Drosophila melanogaster: one gene and its partner. The protein of the gene in region 1 interacts with the protein of each later gene in a pairwise test. Each region holds a gene or a part of one and is shown in the gene's direction. Other genes may lie near its edges. The genes, in order: CG14568 and Sec16.

Evidence for each region.
Region 2: the proteins of CG14568 (region 1) and Sec16 interact in a two-hybrid assay, tested with the Drosophila melanogaster proteins (one large-scale study listed by BioGRID).

Annotation. Positions count from the first base shown.
Region 1 is NT_037436.4:21,726,631-21,741,119, reverse strand, and holds CG14568 (uncharacterized protein), read left to right. Parts: upstream 1-7,632; 5' UTR 7,633-7,667; coding exon 7,668-8,183; 3' UTR 8,184-8,314; downstream 8,315-14,489. Other genes in the region: CG14566 (uncharacterized protein), read left to right, coding at 854-1,354; CG14567 (uncharacterized protein), read left to right, coding at 2,786-3,358; CG14573 (uncharacterized protein), read right to left, coding at 6,411-6,989; CG14569 (uncharacterized protein), read left to right, coding at 9,599-10,186; CG14570 (uncharacterized protein), read left to right, coding at 10,692-11,378; Polr2H (RNA polymerase II, I and III subunit H), read right to left, coding at 11,478-11,927; CG11247 (uncharacterized protein), read left to right, coding at 14,382-14,489.
Region 2 is NC_004354.4:12,587,140-12,603,316, forward strand, and holds the start of Sec16 (secretory 16), read left to right. Parts: upstream 1-8,907; 5' UTR 8,908-9,095; intron 9,096-9,536; exon of another isoform or gene 9,537-9,598; intron 9,599-9,761; exon of another isoform or gene 9,762-9,830; intron 9,831-10,206; 5' UTR 10,207-10,213; coding exon 10,214-13,302; intron 13,303-14,443; coding exon 14,444-14,758; intron 14,759-15,870; coding exon 15,871-16,177. Other genes in the region: LIMK1 (LIM domain kinase 1), read right to left, coding at 1-761, 831-2,028, 2,117-2,182, 2,702-3,309; CG1824 (uncharacterized protein), read right to left, coding at 5,561-5,809, 5,868-6,473, 6,737-7,753, 7,829-8,192, 8,358-8,407.

The DNA of each region.
Region 1 (14,489 bases):
CAATATTTATGCGATCAACGATTTGGCGTTGAGGTGACCGCCAAGGTCACCAAGCCCGTTCCCCAAACGATTGTTTTATGTCACGTCCTGAACTATCATTACATGAAATAAAGTGAGGATGGTTAAATGTAAATAATAGGTGCAAGCAAAAATATATACAAATTAGTTTTAAATTGCATTTAAGAAATTACTTCAACTACAAATTTGTTTTACTTTATACAAATTTGTCAATATTGTCAGCAAGTCTTAAATCGTTTGATTTTTTTAAACCAATAAGTTATCTAAGTTGAGTATGAGGGTGATTCTAACTATAAAATATATTATTTATATAATAAATGGCTTTTAGGTGCCATAATTAAATTCAGTACAACATAAGTTTTAAATATTTCAAGGCTTCGGGCATTGGACTAAAATAGATTTTTGTCCGCTTCCATTTAACCAATATCCTTTAACTTCGCTCCAAAATTTACGACTAGCCATTAATTTCACCGTCCATCACATTAAGAGCGTTTTAATGTTGACCGATTGGTTTAATCGAGGTGGAGACACTCTCAGATTTTGGACTGATTTCTGGCGAAACCTCGGACATCTACATCTGCTTCCTATTTCTGGTCACGTCGTGGGCGCATAAAGACGCCGCAGACACCGCCGATCGTGGGTAACCAAGACCATAGTGGAGTGCCGACGTCAGACCGTAGGTCCAAAAAAGGATGCCCACGCTGGGTCCACGCGCCGCACACTAAACAGGTGCCCATCCAAGTCCTACCTATAAAAGCGCCCATGGAGGCTCTTCCAGTCATCAGTCGTTGGTTCAGCCTTCCCACAGATACACTTGAATCCATCAATCTCCACCATGGCAAAGCTCCAGGTTATCCTTATTGCTGCAGCCCTCAGCCTGTTGGCCGTTTCCCAAGCCCAGCAACAGCGCTATTCGCAGCGCCTAAGCCGCGGACGTTCGAGGTACTCCGCTCGGCAGGAGCTGGCTCCCGCTGACGCAGCTGATCCGGATGCCGTCACACCCTATCCCTCGGCAGATGAGCTGAAGCCGGAAGTGCCCTTCGACGAGGCTGCTGCTCCCTCGGCCGCCGGGCCCACACCGGATGCCGTCTATGGACCGCCCGATGCTGCTCCTAACAGCGTTCCCGACGAGGTCTACGGCCCACCGGACGTGACCGGAAACGATCTGCCCGCTGCCGCCGACATTCCGGCGGAGCAGCAGGCCCGTTTGGTAGCTGCCAGGAGGGCCGCCAACTACCGGAGAGTAGCTAAGCCCGTGGCCTATCGCCGTCCACTTTCCGCCGCAGCTCGTCCGGCCAAATTGAGTGCTGCCCGCTCCACCGTGCGACGCTTCTAAGTGAAAATCAGGTAAGGCTTTGAGAACTCATCAAGAATAACTTTTGAACACCAAAAAAACAATAAACAATGAAATGATTAACCATATAGAAGATCCTTTAAATATTTCTTTCTATTTTGCTTGCAATTCCAGCAGCCAACTCAAAACAAAAACCCATGACGATCCAACCAGCCACGATGACGACAAAAACACACACAGAAATTCTTTTTCACCTGATCCCACACTCTACACATAAAAAAATCACACATCCGATTATAATATAATGCAAATAAATCTGGTTTCGAGATAAAACGAACTTCTTTTGGCAGTCATACCAGTGAATCACTTCGGTACAGACGGGAAAGAAACTTTCCTAGACGCGTCCAAAAGCCAATTTTCAGCCAACTTGATCAAGAAGCTATTGGTCACCGAGAGAGTGGGTAAAGGGGAAGACCTGGAACCGGTTTGGGAACGCACGCTTCGCAAACTGGTGACGAATTTGGGATTGCCCCGACCGCAAAAAAAAAAAACAAGAAATACGGCAGTCTGAGCTCCGAGTGAAAAATAAATACTCTAATCTTGAACTCGATCCAGGGCAGTCTGGGTAATCAGTGTGGGAAAAAATTCAGAGGTTTCAAAAGAGAGATAATGAAAAACAAATTATTTTTTCTTATAGAAACATGATAACAAGAAATTCAAATAAAAACTGCACGTTAAAATGGTTTCCAGCACGGTAAAAAGAATAATTACAACATTAAGAACATTAACTGCACTTATGGAATCATAAATATGACAAAAAGTTCAAAACAAAAGTTATGAGGAAAAGTTCTCTAGGAATTATCCGGAAGAATAACTATATTCCAGCACACATAATCACCAAATTCAATGATTCATTTAATTGCATTTTCAAATTTGAAATGTTCGCGAATTGTCAAGGGTCGAAGCAAGAGTATTTTTCGCCATTAAGATAAGCACATTACACATCACAAAGTAAGGAAGTTAAGGAATTATTCCCTTCGACAATAAAGCACCTATACCTATATCTTCACAATACAACTACTACAAGATTGAACATTTAATTAGTCGCATTAAAAGTCATTACTATAGTATACACCGAAAAGAAACTATGCAGTTTCACATATATACGTCTTTTTAACCACTATTAAAAATGCCTTCACTTTTTATTTGCCTTCCCTTGATATACGAAGTGAAATTCATATTTAGCTTGGATACTTTAAAAACGCAATTTATAATAATAAATTTTTCTTTCTGTGCAACTCGTTTGATTTGAAGAAAAGCTGCTGTGGAGCAGAGAGCCAAAGCTTATTTAAATGATCTTCCCAGCCGCCTGTACTCAGTTGTCGTAGAAGATCAGACCGGATTACTTCGAGTAAAGCTGCCGGAGAAACGCGTGCAGAAAGTGAAATTTTCATTGCAACAATGTTGAGACGAATGTTTGCCGTGGCCATCATTGCCATGACTTTGTTGGAAAATATTCGAGCCCAACGGCCCTCCTTTGCGGGATTGAGGCCACCAGGTGGACTAAGTCAGAAGGACAAGTACCACGCAACTCAAAACACAGCCGTCGAGAATATCACCGGAGTGGACATAGCTACGAGATTTGGAGAGCCATCCAGTTCGCAGAGGCCAGCTCTAGTCAATCTACCGTTTGGAGCCTCCCAGAAGCCGCCGATTGGAGTTCCCCTAGTACTGCCAATAAGTGGGTCTGCTGCGGAGGCGGCTCCCACAGTGGCCAACCGATTTGGAGCAGAGGACAGTCCACAGTTCACAACGCAGCCCACCAGTTCCACAGCCGGAAGACCCGCAACATCAGTGGCCCCCGTTTTCAACCAGCTGCCCATCGATGCCCATGGTGACCGCGAGTGGGTCAACCACTTGAGTCAGCTGCCCGTGGAGCAGCAGCCCTTCTGGTTCATTAATTACCAGGCCATTGAGGCCCATCGGAATAGCTCGAGACCGAATGTGGGTGGCCTGGAGACGCGGGCATCTTTCTTCCGCGGTTAACTATTGAAATTAATAACAACAATGAGATTTTTACTTACTCAAATATGTGCGAATTTAAATATAGAATTACCTATTTATTTTATATAATGAAAAGCAAGATTTGTGTTTATAGGTGACGATAAGGGAAACAACTCAAAGTTGATAAGATTGATGGCTTGAAAATTAGTTAACAACAGTAGGCTTTGATCACCTTAAAAGAAATAATCTACAAGCTAAACATTACATATTACCAAACAGAAACATAGTCGTTCGACTTTTTAAAAAAGTCAAGTACTCTCAATCCATATATTTTTTCCCTCGTTCAGATCGAACAATCAAATCAGATTTTAATTTCTTCGTGTATATACAGCAGCCGCAGTGATGTGATCTCAGAAACAATTTAAGCTAGAAAGCTCTTAGTTACTCTACGGGTGTACTAGACTCGAAGAGAGTATGTATCAGGTAAAACGAAGTATTTCCGACCATATGATGTATATATATTCTTGAACAGAATCACTAACCAAGTCGATCTGGCCACGTCAGTCTGTTCGTTCGTATGAAAGTTAAACGCTTTTAAAAAGGGTTTTGATTTTTCTATTTTATTGTATTTTATATCGGTATACCACATCATAATAGACAAAGGGGCGTGTCTATTCCCCCACAAAACGCTTCAAACTGTTATACCCACACTTGTGAAAAATGTTGAAATTGTATTATTTTTTTTTTTAATATTTTCCAATATTGATGCCAGAAAAATGTTGAAATTTCTCGTTCGCTCGTCGACAAGCTGAGTAATGGGTATCTGACATTCGGGCAACTTGACTATAGCGTTTTTTCATATTGTACTTATATACATCGAAATGATTTTCGTTTACAAAGTAAGGTTATAAAATATAAACCTGTGTGATAAAAGAATTGCAAAATCAAATTTCAGAAATGTGTTATTTCTGGGATTCGCCCATGGTCACCCCCACAACCACTACGTCCACAATAGAATGTAAATTAATTCCCTATTTGGATGCAAATTCACAACTTTGTGCGCATAGAGACACTTCATTACTTTTAAATGTTTACTATAAATTTGATGTTCATTAAAATAGAAAGAAACAAACTTGTGTTCAAATAAGGAGGATGCTGCGACTGTGGGATAAGTGTTACTTGCAGTACTTGGTTAGGTTAAGAAAAAACCATGTAATATTGGTATGTGTTAAAGGAATGAGTAGCCTAAAAAATGGTGCAGGTTATTGGCTGAATAAGTGTAATACAATTGGGGAGGTGATTAAAGGAGCCCAAACATTTTAAAATGTACAAGATTTGAAGAGCCTTTACTTCGCAACAGGATATTATCAAGCTTTTTATGGATCACCCCAAAGGTCGTCCTTTTTGTGGCTTCTGCCCTCCAAGTCAGAGGAGTTTGTCAGCCATGTCCAACTTGAAACAGCCGCCCTTGGACCAGCAGCCCTTTTGGTTTCTAAACTATTAAGCAATCGAAGAACTAAGACACGAAGGAATTAGTTGAACGGTTGGCGATTTTTTTTTCATAATTTTCAGTTTGAAAATCATTATTGAGAGAATGAGGATGTCCTTTACTTCTTTTATTAATTTTATTTAAAGTTTATTTACAAACATTTTAATTTGGTCTGATCTTAACATAGATTTCATATAATTAATTATTAGGCGCAACATTTGGATGTTAGCAAATTAAACAAATAATTTCTCAACGAATATCTATATATTGCTTGTCTTCCTCCGGATATACAACTTTATCCCCAACAGGTGGCCTCTGTGTGGCAACACCAGGTGAATCCAGTGCCTTGGTTAGTTCAAGGAGAGCCACAATAATGATCATCAAAAATTTGAACATATTTGCACAGGATATTAGCATTTTCCTAAATAATGTTGCACATCGTCTCTGTACAAACTAATCCTGGATAACAGATGAGGGTATTTATATAAGCTTTAAACCTTACAAAATGCTCTATTAAAAATGGTAAGTATGTGTTATTTATGTGTTCAAAGGTGTGTTTATGCATGTCATTTAAATGTGCATACCCGGCACTCTTAGAGTAAAGGGGTGTGTTAGACTCATTGAAAAGTAGGTAACCGATAGGAACAAGCTATAAAGTATAAGGTTTCTTGACCAGAATCACTAGCTGAGGTTATCTTACCGTGTCGGTCCGTCCGCGTACCGAAATATTTTTAATATTTAGAATAACTTAAATATTAAAACCAAATGTCCGTAAGTATGATCCTTTACACTGCTCCGTCATCAAGTTGAAAGGCCACCATTCACCAATCATATTGCGCAGACTAAAAAATATCTTAGCAAGCCATTACACTGGTGACCCAGCCACTATAACTAGAATAAAACAAAGCATTAAAAATGCATTGGAAATGGGAAGCCTTTCACAAAAGACCATACAAATCCGCTAAAAGTATGCGATGGGAACAAGGAACCCTTTAAACGCTTCCGAGGCAATTCACATGTCAAGGATATGCAAAGAATTCCGAACAGGAGTTCGTCCAGAATAGGTCTGATATAAGTTTTTCTTAAAGGCAAATGGCTTGCACTGAATTTTAGAGAACTGAAATCTTTGAGCTGTGTGTAAACAAATTTGCATCCATTTCGACAATTTAATATTAACCATTAAAAGCAATTATTTCTCATGCAATTATTATTTCTCGACAATCGGTAGATGTTGAATAATAATATAAATTATTAATAATTCAAAATAACACAGTCAGATGGACTGACACGTATAGATGAGCACACTGCTGATTATCCTCCCTTCTCCACTTACTTTCACATAATACGTTTTGATTAAATACGAAATACTAAATTATTTACGTAAATGATAACTTATTTGTTTGATATTGGAGTCGGGATATTTAATTTATTAATTAGTTTCGCTTATCATATCACTGGTTTCTATTTAGACTTTTTGGACTGAGTTTACTTAAAATGTAAGGAAAACAAGCAGACGAACCATTTTTAAACATATTAGCAGAAATATATTTTTAACAACAAATTGCAATCCAAACAGAACAAATTAAGAGAAGGCAACTAGCGTTACTACCAGCCTAGTTGCTGGGGAGCAGCGCTGTAGGCTGCCAGGTAATACGGCTGCTGGGCACCCACATAGTAAAACTGGGGCGTGGCCAGTGCTGGAGCCTGAGCTACTGGAACCAGCGAAGCCACTGGAGCCACAGCCGCATCCACGGGCAGCTCCTCCAGGCGAGCTGTGCGTTGGCGGAGCAGCTTTGGCTTAGCCAGCTGCAACTTGCCCAATCTATGGCGGCTGCGCAGGCGGGCCGGAGCAGAGGATGGTGTGGTGGCCTCAAGTGAGCTCTCCTCGGTGTCCACCTCCTCGTTCTCTGGGCTAGGCTCGAAGGTGTCCACTGGTGGATCCTGTTCCGAAGGCAAGGCATCTGTATCCACATCCTCGGGAGGTCCGTAGGTCAGCGCGGGCTGTTCGGCGGCGGGTTTAAGCTCAGCAGCCGAGGGGTAGGGGGTGGGAGCCAGCTCCTGCCGGGCGAACGCCACCGGACGCAGGCGCAGAGTCCGCCGAAGTGGTGCCTGTGCCGCACAATTCACCGCGCTGATGGCCGCCAGCAGGAGGAGGAGCGAACTGAAAAACTGGTAACGTGCCATGATCGTGGGACTAGCAGTTGAGCTGTGTTTGCTGTCGTATATGGAGCTTTAACTTTTATACTTCCAAGTGCCGCAGCGGTGGCCCTGCTCATCGGTGGTCACTGGTCAGCGATTCTAGCCCAGCCAACAACGCCGTGAATTTTAAGCAGAGCGCCGCGATTTGAAATCCATCAATGCGTATGCATTGTATGTCAAGCAGGCGCCGCACAGTGGAGTGGAATTTAAAGTGCTAGCAGATCTATAGCCCTAGTTGCCCATGCCCATGTGGACCATTGGCCACATGCTTAGTATATAAAAAGGGAAGTAGGTTAGAAAGAAATTCATTAGCTCAGTTAAAGTAATGACATATTTATAAAATTATAGAATTACGTTAGAAAACATACAAGTCAACGAATGACATTCGTTACTAGTTCGACTTCTTTGGTTGCAACCCATTCCTCATCCGCAGTGGTTCCACGTAAAGTGTCAAAGTTAAGTGCCCGCGGGTTATAATTAACGGCCAATGGTTATGGCTTAGACATGGGCCCTTGACTAAATATTGTCACGTCCGTAGGCCAACGAAAGGGTGTCCCTCGGTGAGCCAAATATACCCGAGTGGCCGAAAACTTCAGTTGGTATAAAAGGCGCGAAACTGGCAGCCACTGACAACATTCTAAGACAACTCAGCAGCAGCTCAACATGGCCCACAAGTTCATCTGCTCCCTGCTCCTGATCGCAGCCATGGCTGCCGTTTCTGTTGCAGAGCCTACCAGATTCCGGGGACGATTTTCCCGCCTGCAGTTTGCCCGTCAGGAGCAGGCTCCAGGGGATCAGGCAGTTCCGGCCGACCCCGCCGTGGATATTGCACCTACGCCGGCCTCAGCCCCTTATCCGCCAGCAGGAGTGACACCGGAGGTGCCCTTCGACCTGCCCACGGAGACTGAAGCGCAACCTGATCTTACCTACGGACCCCCAGATGAGCCCGACAACACCTACGGCCCTCCCGATAACACTTACGGACCACCTGCTGAGCCGGAAAACACCTATGGACCGCCGGCTGATGGCCCAGTGGACCAGGCCCCTGCTGCCGATCCCGTGCCCGCCGGCTTGATCCAGCCTCGTAACGAACGCCTCCTCAGTCGTCGTCCGACCCCAGAGAAGCTTCGATCCGCTCAGATTATCCGCTCTGGATCAGTTCTGGTGTACACCATCTGAAATGGGTCAACCCTAATTTGCTAGAAATCAAATGGAATCGACTCATTAGGATATGCATTTATTACTTTGTCGCTAAATAAATTGTTGTTGAATATTTTAATTTAAATAATAAAATAATTGCGTTAATATTCAAGCCACCCTTTTGTCATAAATTGAAAATTGCAAAATATGTCTGTCTTGTTGTTAGTGAAGCAAAACATATTTAATTTGTTGTTGGAGCTAACAGATATATGAACGCATTTGCTTTTCTATTAAGATCTTATTTTCTTAATCAGGATCAAATCACAAAAGTGATTCGGGAGTCTCAACTACAAGTTACCCTGTGCTCTATTATCTATTAAAAATCTTGTCCAAGCAGTATCAAACAAGAAATCCTATATTCGGCTTCCCTGCTTATCAGATACCAACTACTCAGCTAGTGGAAATGCGAACGCGAACTTGCATACTTTTCCTGGAATATCGATAGATATTGGTGAATAAAATGCGTTGCATAAACTTTTTTGTCAATCAACAGAAATTTACAAGACTAATAAAAATATGCAAAATGTCAAAACAATTTGCAAACGTGTGGGCGTTGCAGTTTTGTGTGGTTCGTGGGCGTTAGAGTGGGCGTTTCTCTAGAAGCTGTGAGCTGTAAGCTGTAAGCTTAATCTCAACCCTCTAGCTTTTATAGTTCCCGAGATCGAGACGTTCATACGGACAGACGGGCATGGCCAGATCGACTCGGCTATTGATCCTGATCATATATGTATATACTTTATATGGTCGGAAAAGTTTCCTGTTACATAATTTTCAACACATCTTACTCTACGAGTAAGGAGTATGAATACTATATTTTTTAACCCGATTTTCACTTACCATGATAAAAACTCAAAGCTCAGAATATAATAATTTTTGGTAAGGCAAATGAGTGTTCCAAAAGCCAAGCTAATAGTAAATAACATTGTTTTTGAATTCGATCGACCCTGATTGAAACTGTCCAAATGTTGCAAATGGGTGGGACGTGCTTTTAAAAGTGCGTGCTTGATGGATTTTTTCACAGCCTATTCTGTTTTGCATGAATACAAAGTTCATCAAATAAAATTATGAACTGCCAAGAACCCAAAACCAAACAAACTCGAGTGTTCACAGCTCACTCCAAGTGTTAATGAATGATTTGCGAAGGAGGGAAAGGGTGGCCTATTCCAAATCATAGCATTGGAAAATCAATTTCGAAAAAGGGTCACGTATCGGGTATTAAGCTGAAGCTACATTGCCGCCGATCAGCGCAACATAATCAAAGTTTTACCGGGAATAAGAGCCTGAAACTGAAAGTGACGAGCATAAATTATAGCAGAATTCGATCTGGTAGCTTGGGGCTATAAATACGTCGTGTCGGATCGAGAAATCAGAACAGAAGCCCTTCAACCGCGAAAATGTTTAAACCGACTGGCGCACCAATTGCTATTCTTGTCCTGAGCCTGTTGGCGCTGAGCTCCGCGGAGCCGATCCGCCGGAGGTTCTTGGCGCGCCAAGTGGAGGCTATACCCAGTCCTTCGCCCACCGGATATCCGGAGGCGGGCATCACCCCGAGTGTTCCCTTCGATTTACCCAGTTCGACTGTCAAGCCGGAGAACACTTATCTGCCGCCTGATAACACCTATGGACCTCCGGACAACACATACGGGCCACCAGATAACACTTATGGACCTCCAGAGACCGACTCCGTGCCGGCTATTGCTCCCGAGGCTGAGCCGCTACCAGAGAATCCCATCGAGACTGATGATATTCCAGAGACTGAGGAAGCATCGGTTGACGGTGCCAAGCTGCAGCCCGCTGATGAGGACGCCGAGGAGGATGAACCGCAGCTGGATGTTGCTGAGGATGGCACTGTGATCGTTGTAGCTAGCAGTCTTGACCAGCCACAGTCCGTCCAGTCCGCCCGACTCTACCAGCGATTTCCGCAAGGACGGCGTTCCCAGAGGCCCGTTCCTCAGCGTCTAATCCTGCGTCGCAGTTGGTAGACTTTAAAACTTTAGCGTAAGCAAATACGTCACTGCGTCAGACTTAAGGAAATATCATACAGGCAAAGACTCTAGAATAATTATTCTAGTGTCTTTGATACAGGGCTGGAATCTATTCTAACGATATCATGCACTCACCGTACACAGAAAATATATTTACAAAATATTACTTACAAAATTCAATTTAAAATGAAATCCATACTGAAACTAATAGGAAAGCGTTATATTTATTATTTTTTTTATTCCTGTGTAAAAATAATATACAATTATTTTGTATAAGCACTCCCTTTTAAAGAAATCTAACCACACATTTTCATAACAGCCAGTACTTACACGCGCCTTAGTCACCACCTCCATGGGCACGTATCGTTGGACCTGGCTTATAAGTCATCGGCCTCGAGGTTTCTTCGGGCGTTTGAATTGGGCAGTTCCCAAGGGCATTCCTAGGGGGTATTTATAGGCGCCACTTAGCCGCCCATGCAGCAGTTCATGTCAGCACACCACAATGTCCGGTTATCCAAGTGCTTCTCTGGTCACCTTTGCGCTTTGTTCCATTCTTTGCCTGAATGGAATTGAAGGCAGTCATCTGAGGTTCCCAGGACCCGCGGCGGGAAGGTTTCTGCAAAGACAGGAACAAGCCCCATATCCACCAGCAGGCCTGGTCCCCGATCCGCCATTCGACCTGCCAACGGAGGAGGCGGTTGAATTTCCTCAACCGGAGGATACATATGGCCCTCCACCTGAAACATACGGACCACCGTCTTTGGTGGAAGCGCCAGCTGAGGTCTACGGCCCACCGGACCAAATTTATGGACCTCCCGATCAGACCTACGGACCTCCAGACCAGCCAGCCAATGATGACAGCTCCAACACATTGCCACAAAGCGCAGCTATAATTAATTTGGCAAGTCTGCCGCTACCACCCCAGGCTCAGTATGTTCTGCCGCTTCTGAACCGACTTTCTGCCTTCCGCCCGCAGCGTCCGGTTCTGCGGACTCCGCAGCGACGGCCGGCTAAGCTTACGGTTCGTCGTCGGCCAGATGCGGTCAAGATTGTGAATGCTATTAGGCCTACTCCAGTGTTCCCATCGACTCCGCAGGCTTTGCCCTTCGTGGATCGCCACATTCCTTTTCGCCCACGGCCATCTCGCCTGATAGTCAATGCGCCTTTCAGACGCCCATCCAGGCAATAGACTACTTCTTTCAGCACTCCAAGCAATGTCATGAATACACTGTAAATAAAGTTTGTTGTCTATGTCTAATTTGCGATCGAAAATAATTAGGTAGAAAATTCAGAAGGCCAGCCGCTTCATCAGCAGGTACATGTGCTGGTCCACCTCGAAGCCATGAAGATTGTTGGCGTCACCCTGAAGTCGCATCAGCAAGCCGCCGAATGACACGTAGGCGGAGAGCCGGGAGGCCTCATTGTGTGCTTCGTCGCCCTCGATCCTGTAGATCTTGCCGTACATCACGTACTCAAAGCTGTCCGCCCGCGTTCCCTCGTGCTCCATTGGATTGTACTCCCCGCTGTCCGGGCAACCATCCTCGCGCAGGGTGGTGGCCAAAACCAGGCGGAACTTGTCGCCCAGCTCCATGGGGTATAGCCACGAGTTGATGTCCAGGATGAGGTCCATCTTAAACGACTCGGACTCGCAGTGCAGGCGGGATACACGGTCGAACTTTTTGCCCTCCGGATCCATGTCCTTTACGTTGAAGATGTCCTCAAAGAGTACTCCAGCCATTTTAACTGAAATGTAGTATTTGATGAGTTATTGCTTTGAAGTCAGTTTAGTGGAGCTCCAAAAACGCACGCCTTACCTTGAGTCGGCTAATTAGATTTTATACGTATTTGATCTTATATGCGGAGGTAAATGCGTGTTCTTTTATGAACTGGGTTTATATCAGCAGAATTTTATTATATTTAAACTGTTAGCGACTAATATTTATTTCTTAAATATTTTGCATGCGCGTGTTAAGTATGAGAGATGCCAGATCTTTCTGGCGGCTTGAGTGTTGCCACACGTCTGCGATTTCAGTGAGCAAAGTGGTCACGTTCAGCAGGCTGTGATTTCAGTGTGTAAAAGAAGTCACGTTCAACAAAGTGTGCCTCACTTTGTTCTTACTGAAATTTCAATAAATATTGCAGTGATACTGCGCAATGTGATTTTTAACTTATTTATAACTTATTGCGCCGCAACCTACACGTTATTGGATTTTCTCTAACTAGTGACTGTGCATCACGCTCCCATCTGTGGCCGCGCAGACAGAGAGTCCCAGTGTGACCGTCTATCGGTGAATACACATCACTAACATTAAGAACAACATCGAAAAACCACCGAAAACTGTTATTTATTTTGCTGGACAAAACGCAGTATTGGCTTAGAATCGGCAAACCCGCAAAGTCCCACAAAGGTTAAGCCGCAGGCAGCACGATGGATACACCTTGAGGAGCCAGTCGGACTGCCACCTAGCGGATTGCAAAAAGTATGTACACACAGCTCGTGGTGTCGAAATTAAAAACAAATAAGAAGCGAACTCATAGTCGGACGCGGAATGCATAGGAAGTCCAGGTGTGTCCCATTCGGGGTGATGCTAAGTTTCCTGTGGATCGAAGGCCCTTAGCCTAGCGACTCCTGCTTTTTGCGAAGGTAAGTCCACGCCCGGTGGGGCTTTGGTGTTGGTGTTGAATGTGGAGCCCCTGGGCCAAATGTGTAGCATATGTGTATAATGGATTGCTTTACGTATATGAGTGCTGTGGTGCTGGTTCATTAATTACTAACAATCGGTTGCAAGACCCCGAAAACTACACAGTCGTCGAGTTTTGTGCCCCGAATACGAAAGACTTCAACGGCCCCTACCCTCATCCAGCGACCGCCGCCGCCTTAACCCTTACCCACCCCCATAACCCCGCCTATTTAGCATTACAAAACTGCTGTTATGTATTCACTTCTTTATTTTCGCTTTTTGTGTGTGATTTTCGCTGTCGTTCGTGCTTTTTGCCCTGTTCTCTTTCAATTTCGATTCCCAGCTGCGGATTCTAGCTTAAATTCGCTTTTTCAACAGTTTGGTCGAGGGCCGTTGTGCTGCTAAAGTGAGTTAGTTTTCAGCTTCTGCGGGTGCGGCTCTAATGAACCATTAACCCTCCGCAGGGGGAGGGGGTTGCTTGGCACTGGAATCGGAATCGGAGGGTTCCCAATCTGCTTGCCAGATGTTCGTCCCAGCCCAGGGTCATCGTAATCGCTCTCTTGCAGTTGCATTTTCAGTGTTCTCGCTTTTCATTGGAAACTCCGCCGCCTCGGAGAACAGACGCCGCGGGATCGAAAACGCTCAGGTTGCACAGCTTTATCTCGATATCTTTTTATAGCTCTACCGTGATTTTAGTGAAAGCGGTGGATTGCTTATCAGTTGTTGCCTTCCTCGGGATCTTATCAGGCGGTTTCTCCATCTCGCTCCCGCCCAAACAAAAGATTAAGACAACAAACTAAGAATTTTTTTTGGAAGCTTACGTTCGCTGGAAATGTCAATTGATAATGCGACCCACTTCAAGACTTGGGCTCCTAGCTCTGTACACCGTGAAAAACAGTCCACAACCTTCCGTTGTTAACTAGATTTGTAAAGAAACGAATATATTTTCTAATTGGATAGCCAATGAATTGCAATTAATTAATTAATTATGATAAACAACGTCTAAAAATCTCAAGTGATTTCGACAACACTGCAAAAATAGTAAGAACTATTGCATTAACGTAAAAAGTGCCATGCTTTTCGAAGCCCCTAAATATGCAAATCCACCAATTTTGGTAATATTTTTCCTGTGCATAGGTCTTATCACTGTTGACACAGCTGGAGTTTCTGTTCCGTTGCTGTTTCTCTTCTTGTTTCTGTTTCGGCTTCACTTGCGGTTACTATTTCTGTCTGTGTTTTTGATTCTCCGTCTGCTTCGGAACGTGGCGCTCGGCGAGTGGAGAATTAAAACAGCTCTTAACTTTTTTTGCAGCCCATCTGAACTAATCCAAACCAAAGGTGAATGGGAACTATCCTAGAAGTAGCAATCGAACCAAAAAATACGAATACCCTAAATTACATACGTAGAACATTAACCCTAGAAGTAAAGACAAACGCAGCAGGTGCCGGTGTTTCCCAGGAAGCGGTCCCCAGAAATTTAGTTACGAATCCAAATAATAAAAACCAAACAAATGGTACGCAGCCGTCGTAGTGTGTCCAAGGAGGATGCCGTCTCTCTGCTCACAGACAGCGGCATATCGCTGTCTTCGCCGCCGGCGGCGAGGGAATCCTCACCAGGC
Region 2 (16,177 bases), on another chromosome or scaffold:
GGTTTCACTGTATTCTCATCCTCTTGCGCTGCTGGCAGATTATTTACATCATGGTAATTTAGGCTAGTATCGCAACTGGAGTCCACATCGGAATAGGTGTTCAAATCCCTGACATCCTCTAGCTGCAATTCGGCACCGGCACGCAGATCCACCAGGTAACCTCTTTCGCCAAACGGACGACATTTCTTCAGCGCCTTCTTCAAAGCCCTTTCCTTGGACTCCGTGTCGGGCGTGAGATTACGACGCTCCTCCTGGGCGCCCAAGAAACGTTGGCGACGCCTGGCCCGCATACTGTCACGCAGTCTCTCGCCGCTGGGCGAGAAATCCTTGCCGAGATGCGGAGATTTCGGTATATCCTGGGGCTTAATCACCATATTCTCCTTCTCTTTTTCTACCGGCGAAATTTCCGAATCCACCGCACTCTTGACCAACTCATCGAGATTATTTAAGCTGCGCTGGGAGGTGGGTGACAAGGCGTCCTCAGAGCTGGCGTACCATTCCTGAAAGGTCTCAATCTCGTGCAGCAGACGCTCTGGCGGCACACGATCGGCGGCCAGATCATCGGCGAGACGCTGCAGCCAAACGTGCAGAGTTTCGAAACACGGACGCATATCGGGATTAAGATCACAGCACACGAAGGCCACTTTAACGAAAGGCTCTGGACACTGAGCGCAGAACTTCTCGCGAAACTCCTGCTGATTGAGACTGAAGTCCGAATTGCGAGGCATAAAATCCGGATCGGCTTCCACGCGTCCAATGATCTGCAAGGCAGGTGGCAAATAAGTTAAAGATAAATCGGTCAATAAAATCATATTATCTTAATCTCTTACCTCACACAACATAATGCCAAAGGAGAAGACATCCACCTTTTCGTCGTATTTGAGACCTTTCATCATCTCGGGTGCCATCCAGTAGGGATTCCCGACCACCGTGTAACGTTGCCTTCGCTGCCTGCTCTTGCTGCGCCTTAGTGTTCCACTCGGTGACATGGGCGCATCGCTGTTAGCGCCTGATCCATAGCCGCCTGGCGTCATATTGCCACTTGGCAGCCGCGGCGCATCCACACTGCGAGCTAGTCCAAAATCCGCCACTATGACCGAGCGATCTTCACGGACCAGGCAATTCATTGAGTTCAAATCGCGATGGATGATGTTCATCGAGTGCAGATAGCTCATGCCGCACGCAATATCCCTGGCCAAGCGGACGCGCTGGGGCCAAGGGAGTACTTGGGCTGGATCGTGGATCAGCTCCTTGAGACAACCACCGGCCACGTACTCCGTGACCATGTGCAGTTTCTTATCCTTGTACAGAACACCAATGAATTTGAGCACATGCCGATGGTCCAGCAAACGGAGAACGGCCACTTCCTTGATGAAATTCCTTTGCGCTTCCTCATCCGCACGATGCAGTTCTTTGAGGACCATCACCTCGCCGCTCTGACGGTGGGTCACCTTGAAAACCTTGCCAAAGAAGCCCTCGCCTAGCTTCTCTCCTATAACCAGATCAGTTGCACGAAAGATTCGTTGTGGCTTTTGGACGACACGGCAGGATTGCGTCCTGGACAGATCATAGAGCTGAGGATGCGCCGAATGCTGTTGTGCCTGATGCTGTTCATCCAGCAACTTGGACAGACTGGAACAACGCTCCTTCTCCTTTAGTTGCGTCATTGCGGTGGCTCCAGCTGCCGGTGGTATTGTCGTAGAGGCATTGGTGGCTTGTCGCAGTTTCCTGGCCTTCGTGCCCTGTTCGCCGGGTGTCTTGTACAGACGCTCCCTGCCCACCTCGACACTGGAGGCCGATGTGCTGAGCGGCAGGATTAACGTGGACGCTGACATGGCCCGCTGGATGTCCGCTTGGCTGCAGGAGCGGCACACTTGCACCGGATCATGCTCCACGGTCAGCTGAAGCATCTTCTCATTACTCCGTATCAATTTGTCGATCTGTTCCACGGACGAATCACTAACTGGTGTGCCGTTCACCTCCAATATCCTATCTCCAATATGCAGATTTGTAAGATTCACATCAATTCTGGATAATAGGAAATAAATCAATAATTAGCAAAGTGTTACTACTAGCTTAGTTGTTGCTTTTAATTCAACTCAGGCACATTTGTTACCTATAAGGCGCCCCACAGCACTGTTCCGCCATCGAGGTTAGCCACAAGAAGAAGTTACAGAACAAGCTATTTTTTTTTTTTGGGCAAGCATGTATTAGGGAAATGCAGAAAGAGTCGAAGGACGAACGCCCAGCGAAATTAGTTGGCAATTAGGACTAGACCTAGTTAGCTAATGTGCAAACTTTAACAAATGGCAACCAAAAGTGAGTCAGATTGAAGCAATAAATTATATACAATCAAATAATAGTTATCATTTCACAATACGTACTTCGTAGATTTGAGCCATGGTAAAATTTTTTTCAGTACAAAATGTAACCAAAAAGACATTCTTCTTTAAATTCATATAAAAAAAATGTTGTGACTTGTGTGTAAAAAGTGAGAAGACGGCTTGGTTTGTATAACATATGTACATTAAACGCAAAGGCAACTTAGAAGTTCAAAAAAGAGTACAATCTGATCTTTGAAAAAGATCTTAAAAAAAACAACAAGAAACAAATGTAACAATAAAGTTAATAAATAATGCAAATGCATGCATCTCAATGAGTTCATTGATGTAAATTATAGTAATTTCAGTTAATTTCTTACTCTGTAATGCGGACCGTGGGACAACCATCGTCGAGGGCCACTCCGTCGACCCTCAGGCCGGGCGTGGCGTCCTTGGGTATCTCGACCAGACGGATGGAGTGCATCGGCTTGCCGGCCGTTGTGATCCGCGCCTTCGCATCCGCCGGCTGGCAGGAACGTTTGCCATAGCACTGGCCACAATAGAGCTTCGAACGCTCGACAAGGGCGTACGATTCGCCCTCGCCGATGAAGGAGCCGCATGCCGTGCAGCAGAAGCACTCCGGATGGAATTTGTGCTCGCCGGCGACCATTACGGGTCCGGTGATAACGGCCATACACTGCTGACAGGCATCGCCGAATCGGCCGTAGTAATCCTCACGACAGTACAGTAAGCCCTCCCGTTCGAAGTACCAGTTATGCAGATGGCCCTCGCAAACGGAGCAGCGAAAGCAATCGCAGTGCCATTGCTGGCCGAGAGCCATCACGATTGGCTCCTCTGGATGTGGCAGTAGTTGACCCCGACAATGGGCGCACAATGGTGAGTGTCCTCCGGACACAGGTCCTGATCCTGCGCCCAATCCAGTGCCTCCTCGTCCGCCATTTGCCCGCAGGCGCTGCTGATGATGCATGGAATGTTTTTGTGCCTTGGCCCGATCACGTTAGCACTGTGGGTAAAGAGCAGGGGGGCGGGAGGTTAAAAAAAAGGTATTAGTCGATGACGGAATAGGTATTAAATATAGTAAATATAGACCAGCAGTCACGGAACTTGGCCAATTATCGTCAACAGGTCGATATGAACCAGTGGAAACTAAGCAAATATCATATAGGCAATGTAGGTCTATAAATAAGCTATCTTTACCCATTATCATTAACGTTGAGAAAAAAGATATCTACAATGATATCATACATGAAATGCATTTATTATCAACTAATATAGTATTATATTAGTTTTTCTAACTGATTTAAGTGTTAATGATAGGAAGGTTTGGCATTTTTCAAAACCAATTGCATTCAAAACTCTCCGTGATTTTTTATGATATACTGGGACAGCAATTCGAACTTTATTGCTAAAGCGATAGCCATGTAAATATTTTTGCGTACTAAACAAAATGACCGAACAAAACAAAATAATTGAGTCCGGTAGTCATTAGTTTAGGGTTCAGTGATAAAGACTTCGATCCTGAGTCAGCTGCCCCCCATCGGAATTCGCTATACCGCCTGATTTCCATCATCGATTTGCATGCATAATCCATGGATATATGCATATGGACATACATATGTATATGCAAATACACATGAATGTTTGTGTATTTATGGATATAGCTCAACATTGACCGTGAAAACTCCGGTTGATGCAACAACAAACGCGACTCTTTGGATCAACTGCAATCGCAATTGCACTTCAGCTGAGCTAACTGTAGTTGTTGTGCACGTCCCTCTTCCGACCGCATAAACATGACCAATGAATGACGAATGCACACGCACACACTTGCACGCGCGCACAGTGGTCACATGTGAGCCGTGCGTTAAGTGCAGTCCAAGCTCCATTAGGGGTTAATGTGCCTTTAATCACCTGCTTAACCCATTGAACTTTTACTTTAACCAACCATATCACAGTGCTGTGATTTTGCTTTGAAGAGATTGGAAATGAGTGGGTGTGCCACCCTGACTGAAGTCTATAAAATAGCCAAGACAAGCTAGGTTTACGAATGGAACGAATGGTAAAAAATCAAGTAAGTTTGAGTATTTGTCGCACTAGTCCCGCTAGAAACTAATTCCGTTTAATCAACTATGGTTATCATAACTTGCGGTCCAATTTTTGTTAATTAAGTCAATTAATTCACTCAGGCAATTTGCATATTTTTGGACTCCAAAATTCAGGAATGTGTCCACTGTGCGGAGGCAGAAGCACACACACACACGCGTACAGGTGCTGCACACACACACACACACACACACATGCACGCGCTGTTAGAAAATGTGTGTGGGGGAACGGGAACAACACGACATTAGCAAAGCCAATAGCAACAACAACTGGTTTTTTACTTAGATTTTATTGTTTTTTGCTGGACTTGTACACTAAACTAAACCAAACACACACACACACTTACATAATTGTTCGTTTGTATTGCTATTGACTTGACGCACATTGCACATTTGTTGGTTTTTCCTCGCCAATTTCTTATTCGACTGTAATTCCCGCCAAGCAATTATTAATCGCAACTACCGAAATGCCGCGGATTTTGTTTAAATGCCGACGCGACGCACAGCTCGCTAACTCAAACAATAAAAAAGAAATGCATAATAAACAAAACAACAACAAAACTACACAAAATAAAATACAATTCAGCCAGTGTGACCGTAGGACTGTCATTAAAGAATCTCAAAACTATCGTCTAGCTGCCAATCAACTTAAAAAATATATAAACTCTTTAATGAACAAATTTTTTATTATAAACACGCTGCTTGTCACTAACAAGAAATATTGAACAGAATTGAATATTGAAATAGTTTTTCTTTAATCTTCGAGTGACCGTATATGAGTATGGTTGTAGAAATAATGCGGTCCCATTGAATATATTATTTAACGGAAATTGGGATTTCAAGTGTTTTATATTCAGTTTTTCAAACTTTAATTTAAGTTCACGCATCCCATCTATTTTTAATGAACCCGGTGAATTTAGCGATAATGACAATGAAATACTTTCTGTTTATAACAAAAACAATACTGTCTTCAGCGTTTATTTTATTGTATACTTATTGTTAGCGTCTCTCACCATTTTTGTTTTTGGTCAGTTGAAAACAAAAAAAAAAGTGAAAACATTATAAGAATATTAAATTAAGTGTATAGGGAATCATTCAATTTGCCTAACATCGTCACTATCCTTGCGCTGCGTTTGCCCTGCCACCGAAGCTGCTGCTCCCCACTGTCACTGTTGCTGCGGAAGTTTCTGCGGCAGTTGCAATTGTTGCGGCTGTTGAAGTTTCTGTTGCAGTTGCCTGCTGCTCCTTGACGGCCACAACGTCCTCCACCGCCTGGACTTGCTCCTGGATGTCCCGTCGTTCCTGCTGACGCACCAGCTCAAAGTACAGGCCCCGCTTGCCCATCAGTTCGTCATGTTTGCCGGTCTAAAACAAGGGAAAATATAAATATTTCTGAAGATACCAATGGTCTAGGACAACTCACCTCCACGACGCGTCCCTGATCAAGGACGACAATGAGGTCAGCGTTTCGTATCGTGGACAAGCGATGGGCAATCACCAGAGTGGTGCGATTCTGGACCACTGTATCGAGTGCCTTCTGCACTTCCGCCTCGCTGGTGGCGTCCAAGGCACTCGTCGCCTCGTCGAGGATGAGGATGCGCGGATTCTTGAGCAGCGCCCGTGCAATGGCGATGCGTTGCCGCTGACCGCCGCTCAACTGGGTGCCCCGTTCGCCCACATGCGTCGCATATCCATCGGGCAGGGCGGTCACAAAGTCGTGCGATTGTGATAGACGCGCTGCCGCATACACATCCTCCTCGCCCGCATCTGGTTTACCATATCGGATGTTCTCCAATATCGATGTGCCAAACAGCACCGGCTGCTGTTCGATGAAACCGAGGACATTGGACCGCAGCCAATAGGGCGATATGTCCGACAGCTTGTAGCCGTCCAGTTTGATATTGCCCGCCGATGGTTCGTAGAAGCGTTCCACCAGCGACGCTATCGTCGACTTGCCCGATCCACTGGCTCCCACCAGGGCCACCGTCTGGCCCGGGCGGAGCGTCAGGCTAAAGTCCTTGAGCACCAGCTGTGAATGAAGCAAAAATTGACATAGGAAGTTCATTACTGTTTGCATTGCCTAGACTCTAATCTTTTTATCACTTAGCCGTAAATATTGGCCATAAATGTTTGTGGGTATTATAAAATGGTTATCTACTTGCGGAAGCGATAAGAAGTTATTCAATATTATATAAAAAAGTGGCGAGTTTACAAATTACAGAGCATCGATTAATGTAAATATGCCATCATTGTCTCGAGAATGAAATGAAGATATACTTTAATACAACTCACATGATCGGGTTGCATGGGATATGCGAATGAGACGTTCTCGAATCGAATCTCGCCGTGCAGCCGCTCCTGCGGGATGATGTAGCCGCGCAGCAATTCCACCTGTGGCTGCAGCGATAGGAACTCGAAGACTCGACTGCCGGCCGACATGCCTCTGATCATGGTGCCCAGCAGGATGGATCCCTGGGCAAGGGATCGCTGCACACCCTGCGAAGCGACCAGGAAGGCCATCAGAGCACCCGGCGACAGACTCTCCGTAGACATGAGGTGGCCGCCCATAAAGAGCGTAGATAGGACTAGTGTATTGAGGAAGAAGTTGGTCAGGCCCTGGAAGATTGCGATGCCGTAGCCGAGTTTCTGCGCCAGGCGAGCCGCCTCATTGGTCTCCGCCTCGAACAGCTGCATCTCGCGGTATTCACAGGCACTGGATCTAACCGTTCGGATGTTGGACAGCGCCTCCTCGCAGACACCCGTCGCTCGTTCCGCCTGCGCCTGTGAGCTTTTGCTTAGAGAGCGCAGTTTCTTGCCCAAATACGTCATGAACATAACCACGCACGGAACGCTGGCCAGCGCAATGGCGGCCATGTGCGGTGAAATCATGAAGAGCGATATACTGCCGCCAATCAGCTGGGCAGCACTTCGCAGTCCCTGGGAGACGAACTGCTTGAACGAGGTCTTGAAGTCCTGTACATCGGCGGTTAGTCGATTGACCAGCTCGCCCGTTCGATTCTCATCGAAGAATGCGATGTCCTGGACGACAATCTGCGTGAACAGATCCTGCCGCATCTTGGCTGCCATCTGCTCACCGACGCGGCTCAACAGGTAGATGTACATAAAGGTGAAACCAGATTGCAGCATGTATAGGCTCAGCAGATTGCTGGCCGGTTTGCTCACGTCCTTTACGAACGAGTTGTTAATCGGATCCATCACGTACGTGTTGGCATATCTGGCCAGTGTGTTTACCAGGTCACCGAGAAGATTTGGGATGCGTATGTTGATATAAGCCACTATCAGGGCGGCCTGCAAATGAAATTAGCTAAATATTTTGACAAATGCTACACCTGTTCGTGGGCTTTTTGTGATCCAAGAACTCACGCATACGGCCCCGATCAGCTCCCAGAGATGTGGCTCCAAGTAGGTCCACAAACGCTTCCAGTCGAAGTGCTGCTCCGACGCAGTGTCCTCCTCCTCCTCCTCCTTTCGAATGGCCAGCCGGCTGCCTTCGCAATGAACGATCGCTCCGCGATGCCCCGCCCACCAGGAACGGGCGCCCAGACCGATAGCTAAACTACCACCGCCCCACACAAGCAGGCGTGTCGTCTGCAGCAGGCGGCTGGCATTTGTGGGCGGTATCGCGGGCGGTTGGGGAGCGTTCGTTCCACGCAAATGTTGGCGCATCAGGCGGGCGGCATTCTGGAGGCGTGGCAGTGGCTGCTGCGTGGGCTGCAGCAGGTGGCGACTAAACAAAGCGAAATAGGCGGTTAATAATAGGTTGGCTGATTGATGACATAACCGGAGTGAGGGCGAGGGGGAGTCGTTGTTTCCCCAATTCACTGCTGGCCGTAGCAGATCCTCGTGCGTCGGCGGCCCAGAACCTCGCCCGCGATGGTGACCCCTACTCTACCTAAATATGTCGCTGCTCCTGCCGCAATTGGACACGAGTAGGCGCAGCATCTCTTCTCGCGTGGCTTGCAAATATCAACAAAATACGCAAGCGTTAACGCATCACCTGGCGATAGACGCACAGGCATGGCTAGCGATGGGCAACTGTAAGCTATCGATTGTTCGGCGAGTCGTTAAAGGGGCATTGCTGATATTTTCCTGTTCAATATTTTGAATCCCCTTTTAATAATGATTCTACATGAAAAGTCTGAAGATCAATAATAAAAACCAACAGAAAAAATAGACTTATTTTAAAAACTTGCATTTGTCCATTTATTACTTTAAATGAGTATCGAAGTCTAGTTTCCAATGCAGCAAAAAATTATAAGTTTTATAGGATACGAGCAAGAAATGTGGAATTGATTTAATTTGTTTAATTGATTTATCGATTGAAAAGATTTATACATTTATATTAATACAAAATATTTAAAATGTAGGAATATATGATTTTTTAAGTGACCACTGTCCTGTCACACCAATCCAACTGTTTAGTGTCATCTCTATCTGCTGGCAGTCTGGCAACACCACGAAAGTCGAGTTGGCATTTGATTTCATTGCTGCGTTCGGATTGAAAAAATTTCATATTTAATTGTTTAACTCCCAAGAACGTCAGCAAACCAGTAACTTGTATAATATTTTTAGTTAAGTACAGCCGAAAAAAGTGCCGTACCGAGTGCGTGTAAATAAACAAGCGATTTGTGTAAGTCAGTGTGCAGCGTAAGCTAATTAGAAGAGAAAAAGGAGAGCTGTATGTGTGTTTGTGCAACCTACCTGCCTGCGAATGTGTGTTTACTCTCTCTCTCTCGTAATATTAGGCTGTGTTTTATTTTTATAAAAGATAATTGACAAAGCCACCTGAAAAGTGTTTTCTTTAGTTTATTGTGGCTAGTAAAAGCGATTGTGTGCTCAAAATTCGCAAAAAAACACCGGATTGCAACCCTGCGTATGGTTCTTTTTCGCCAAGAGAAAGAAAAAAGAGTGCTGTCTCTTTCTCTCCCTCACCGCTGCTCCAATTTTTTTTTTCAAGAGAGTGTTTTCACTTTTGACTTGCGAAGTGGTAAAAAAAACATTTAAAAATAAAAAAAAAAGAAATGAAAAAAGTATATTTAAGGTCAGATTCGAAAAATCAACTGCACAAATTATCAGCGGCTTAAAAAATAGGTAAAACAAAAAACCTGCTGCGTCAAGAGAACAACAACAAAAGTAAGAGAGCAATGAAACGGTGGTAACAAAACGAAGAAGAAGACCAGAAGAGTGTGGGAGGGAGAAGGGGCAAAATATGGCAAACGTCCACGTAAACTTTTAACTTTTGCTTTTCCGCTCATTGTGAGCTCTATAATATACCCTAAATTCTATTTTGTTCAGTATTCGATTGCGTATTTTCCATCACTCTTCACGGTTTCCAAGTGTCATTAAGGAAAATCCAAGAAAACGGGTAATTTTCCATCAAAACTGGTTTGGTTCATTGAACTGCCCCACAAAATCCAGCAACCACCCCCTGCAATCTCCCCGGAAAACTCCTTATAACACCTAGAAACCTTTTAAATATCTTGGGCGAAGAAACGAACACTTTAATATTAAGTTTTTTCGTTACCATACCATACCTTTAAACCCTTTTTTCGGTTGAATATCTCTTTTGGAAAATAAGCCTGTTCAAATTGCGGGTAAAGATATCTCTAGGGACCTGAAAACACCTTAAAAAGATATTTAAATTGACGATTTACCAGGATATTAACGTGATTTCTGTAGAAATAAGTAGGCATTCATTTTTGAGTTAAAAAGTTGACATCCTTTTGTTTTTCTTTGTTCAGATCCAAAATGTTGCACAATAATGCGCCCTGGCTGCCACCGCATCAGCAGCAGCAGCAACAGGCGCCGCAGCAACATCCTACTCCACAGCAGCAACATGCAATGCCCCAACAGCAGCAAACTCTTCCTGCCCAGCAGCAGCAGCAGCAAGTCTATGCCAGCCAAATGTTCCAGCAACATCAGCCAAATTATTGGCCAGAGGATCAGCATCAACAGCAGCAGCAGCCACAATCCCTGAACTACAATAACTACTTTCCGGGACAGCAGCAGCAACATCCTATGCAGCAGCAGCAACTGCCACCGCAGCAGCAACTGCCACCACAGCAGCAACAGCCTACGCAGCAGCAACATACAATCCAGCAGCAACTGTATTATCCCACTCAGCAGCAGCCACAAGTCCCGGCTCCAGCGGAACCAGCTCTGGACTCGTTTGACAACAATAATAGCGGAGGAGGTGGTGGTGGCGGCCGGAGCGATGGCTGGGGTGATTGGGGCGATTGGAACGACAATAGCAACAACAATAATAGCAACGGCACCGATGGCTTGTTAGAGCCAACCGGACAACTGCTGGAGGATTCCTTCAATGTTCAATCCTCGCAAGGCAGTTGGCAGGCGTTTGCCACTAGCAATAATGTCAATAACAATGGAGAGTTGCCGCCACCAGCCAATCCGCAGTCAACGTCCTTGCAACAACAGCCATTGAATCAGCAATCGATACCTTTGCTGCACCAGCAGCCACAATCGCCGCCGGAACTGGGGCAGGAACCCGAACTGGATGCCATTGTGCCTCCCCAGGCTTTCCAAAACCAACCACCAACTGCAGCACCACCACCAACATCACTGACTTCCTTCTCTGCACAAATGACTGCTGTGGGATCGCCAATCTATGCTGTTGGAGCATCTTCAGCACATAGCGCAGGAGTAGGAGCTTCACCAGCACCTCCCACTGGAGTAGTAGCTCCGCCAGCACATCTCGCCGGTATAGGAGCTCCACCAGCACATCTTGCAGGAGTAGGAGCTTCGCCAGCACCTTCCGCTTTAGTAGGAGCTTCTCCAGCACCCATCATTGGAGTAGGAGCACCACCAGTGGGAGCACCACCAGTAGGAGCACCGCCAGCGGACGCTACAACTATTGCACCACCGGCCGCACTGCCACCTAGCATAGTTCCATCGTCTGGTTCCAATCCCTTCAAGCGTTCCACGGGCCTAAATAAGCGAGTGAACATAATGGCAGATCCTGCAGCAGGAGCTCCATCGCCTCCAGCTCCTGCTGCTGCAATTGCTCCTGTGGCACCAGTAGCACCAATTCCGCCACCAGCAGATCAGCTCTTTGGTATGCCAGCAGAAGCTCATGGAGAGGGTTTCAACTTAATTGCGGCGCCACCTGTTGAGGCTTCACTTGGAACTCCACTAAGTGCACCTATTCCTGCACCCATTCCTGTACCTAACGCATCGCTCTATGCATCACCGGCTGTTCCACAGGCTTTTGCGCATTTGGAACCGGACAATCAGGAGGTTTTGTCCGCGCCAAATGACGAACGGGCCCAGTACTTGCAGACCAGCCACCTGTCCGAGCAGCTGGGCGAAGGTGAAGCGGATCAGGATGCGGGCCTGCTGCCACCACCAGGACTGTCTCGTCTGGTTTTGGGCCAACCGGAGTTGGATTCGCAGCAGCAACGCCAGGTCACTGGAGCCACAGAGCAGCCACCACTTAATGTGGCCCAGGCAGCTGCTCTGCATATGCAAGAACGTCGCGCAGATGGCGAGGACACCTCTGACGGCGAGCAGCAAGTGCGTAATATACAGACGCCACCTCGTCGCGTCGTAACCGGCGTGGAGACCAATGCCCCGTCGTTGCGAGAACAGCGGGAAGTGGTGCTGGATGGCGAGAATCTGGAGGATCGCGAAGCTATACCGCCACCAACGTTGGCTGAACTGCCAACAACTTCAGTACATCACAATATTCTACCCGACGAGGCGGAGCAGCTGCATCACAACAATCCGCCCCAGGCGATGACCCCGCTAAATGCACAGCAACCACATCAGCAGCAGTCCACGCTGCAGCAGCAACACCAGCAACATTCAACCACTCAGCAGGAGAAGAAGCGTGCAGCAGTAGGACGCCGGACCACCGCGTCGCTGGATCTAGAGTCCGATGAGTCCGATGAATTCCTGCAGAGCGAAAGGGAACGGGATCGGGAGCGTGAGCGCAGGGATCTAATGGAGGAGAGGCACAGTCGTGGACGCAGCCATAGTCACTATCCCTACGAAGGCGAAACGGAGGACTCTGTGCGTGGTGCTGCCCATCACGAGACGAAATCCTTGAGAGAAACACATCACAAACGTAACCACGATTCAGCACGCTCTCGTCGCCATCAGGATCCTAAAGTGGAACGTGAAAGGGAGCGGGATAGGGAGCGTGACCGCACATGGCGTCGACGATCCAACAAGTATCACAGCGGTGGCGAGGATCCGGATCGTTCGTACGATCATTCGCGTCGCTATAACAACAGCAACTACGAGGGCGAGTCGGATAATCCGGAGTATAATCACATGGGCGACGCAGAACTTGATGGCAGCGGTGGACGGAGCAGTAAAACCAGTCGCCATCGACGCAGTGCCGCCGAGGAGGATTTCGATGATTACGAACGGGAACGTAATCGATCCCGGCGCTCAACCAAACCACAATCGTCGGCTGAAAAGTCACGCTCCTCGGGCGGACGACGGAATTACGAGAATTCGGGTCGAAGTGCCCGTGCGGATGATGGACGCAGACGTTATCAGGATCAGCGCAATCCTGGTGCTCAGTATCCCGTGTCAGCCACCGGCTATGTTCCCTACGGAATGTACGAGCAAATGTCGCGGAATCCACAAGTCTACGCTGATATGTATGCAAAGTTCTATGGCCAAATGATCAACTCGATGAACGCAGCTGTTTCGGCGGCTGCTTCGAAAGGTGGAGTTCCCGCTGGAGCAGGAGTCATACCCGGATTGATGCCCAGCGCGGTGCCCGTCAGTGCCGCCCAGTTGGTGGCCGCCACCAGCGGAGGAAGTGTCAGCGGTAGCAGTGAAGCCGCCATGCTCAGGGAGCGAGAAAGGTTAGTTTCCAAGTACATGTCATGTTTTTTTTTTATGTCTTTATTATTTATGAAGTTTGCTTGGTCATCTAGAAATACCCCAGAGTCTTGCAGAGATTTTAGATAAGGGTTTGAGGAAATTTTTATATTTGGATTCACAATTTCTATTTATTGTATGTTGCATCAAATATGAGATTAGCAAATTATTAGTTTTGTAGTAAATGATTGGAAAAAAAAGGCAATTTTTTGCTTGATATTTTTATACTATTCGTTCACTGGAGCGTAATAAATATCTTTCGCTTAGTGTAAAAAAAGATTATATAAATTAGATGGCATGTTGTTATTTGACTATTCAAATTAAATTTATTTCGTGTAATGAAATTAAGTAGGACAGTGTAATCTCTGCAAGTTTCGGGCTCTAGAATTTCGGCTGATCCAAAGTGTTCCTTTGCCAACGTTCCTTTAGTTTTGTTTAACCCCTGTCACCTGATAACTTAACCCTTAGTCTGAACCCGTTTACCTGCTCCTAACTTTTTGAACTCGAAGTAGTTGTTGGTTTTTCTCTGGCTTTCTTACATTACCTTGATGTTTGTCAACTAAAAACGGATGATTAACATTGATTGTTTAGCGTTTGAATGGGTATATTAACCCTAACCCCTCCCATTGCCCATCTACACCACCACTCCGTCCCTTAAATGTTGAGGTTGGACTTGGGCTTTAATCTTATCAACTGAACTAAAACTTGCTAATTTTGTTTGTAGTAAGTGATTAGAACCTAGGTGTCTCGCTCTCGCTCGCTCTCTTGCAGCTTTCTCTTTTCCCCTTGCGTTGTACCCCAAATACATGTTACATATTCCAATTGGATTCTACCATCCCGCCATATACCATGCTCCACTTCCACTTTGTTCCCCGTGTGCCGTTCGCTGTGTACGTGTTTTACTAATTAAAACAACACACACACACACAATAAGATCCAAACAAATGCAAAAACCAAACTAATGCAAATTCGTAAATAACCGCAAAACTGTTTTCGTCTCTAACCAACAAAAACAAACAACAATCGCAATCGCAACAACAACAAATTGCACACAAACAACAACATACATATGTGCTATCTGCCCAACTTCCCACCTTTACATATACATACATATATACAATACAGGTATACACACGCATACATAACCCAAGCCAATGAATTCCATCGTCACCAATACAAAGAGCTGATCTACCAGCAACAACAACAACAACAGCAGCAGCAACAACAACAACAGCAGAGGGAGGATCACCTGAACTCCAGCTTTAGCGTTGCAGAGGATAATGCCAGTTTTTACGGATCGCACGGAGGAGGTTCCATCTATAACCAATACCAATCGTATCCACTATCCAGTGCCCGATCGTTGAGTAACTTGAACGGCGATGGACGCAATTCCCGATGCGGACCGTATTACGCTGGTTCCGAATGCGGTCTCGATATCAGGTGGTCAATACAAAAAAGAAATACAGAATCCTTAGATAGCCAAAACGAGAAAGGACATTAACTTTGGCAAGCTAATGTTCATATATACCCTTGCTGTCATGATAAAAAATTAATTCATTCAGAATATATCCATTAAATATCGATGTCTTCTTTATGAATTTACTAATTCGGCAAATGAAAATCTGAAAGATACAATATCATGTATGTGATCATAACGTTAAACGCTTGAACCCATATTTGAGAATTTGTTATGATCCATTTAACTCAAGATTTTGTCTGATTTTGCTAATTAAGTATTAAATAGTTCTGAAATGAATAAATTATATTCTGCAAGGGTATACAATTAAAACAAAAAAATCGCCTGCTGTCTGACAAAAACTTAACCCACTATCTCGCTTTTTGTCGCGCTTTATCTCTTTCTCTCCTCTGAAGCTTTGCGCTTTCTTCTAGGCAAAAACAAGATCACCCAAAACACCTGTCCTTTTCATCCACACTCTACCCCCCTCTCTGTCGCACCCACTGTTCTGCTGCTTTGGGAAATAGTTTCTTCGCTTTGTCTCTGTCTTTAGAACAGATGTTTTTTTTTCGGAATTTTGGATGGTTGGGTTCAGGAAAATTATTTTTTTGAAGAATGTGCTTTCGAGCCATTACTATTACCTAAAAGTCACCTTAAATAACGTATTTTATTTTTCCAAACAAATTGAAAACCGTGTTATCTTAATTGTGTTGAATCTCTAAAGAATACATACATTTCAGTAAGAAATAGTATAAGAAATGTTAAACCAAAAGAACAGAAAGTGCACGGAACAAAAGTTCAATAGGTTGCATAAAAACCATTATATCATCTATATTTTATTGGAACATCAGCTTGGGATCTGTGGAGAACTGTTGAGACCTGTCTTTTAAGTGGCATAAAGTGGGAACTGTTGATGATTCTTCGCTGATGGGTTCTTTTCTCCCAATTTCGTTTTCTACTCTCCCGATACCACCATATACTCTCAAAAAACCAGAAACCCCTTTTCGGTTTTGCATGATCTCTTTTGTTACTTCCTCGCTGAGACCCTTATGTTTGTCCACATTACTAATTCTTACATGTTTGTGATCCACTGTAGAGCTGCTGCCGATGCGGCACCTTCGACTTATGGAGGAGTGGCTGGAACCGCTGGACCGGTGACCAACACTGCGGTGGCTCGTCCGCCGCGCAGACGCACTCCCTTGCAGTTCAGCCGACCGCATTTGGTGGCCTCGTATGCGATGAGTCTGCTGCTGAAGGTGAAGCCCAAATACGCGGGACGTGGACGACTGCGCAACGATGTGGAGGTGGCACCACCACGCATACGGGACGGTACGAGCAGCCTGCTGCGCATGTATCCTGGTCCCTTGCAGGGACGCAAGTTGCACAAGGACAAGATCATCAGT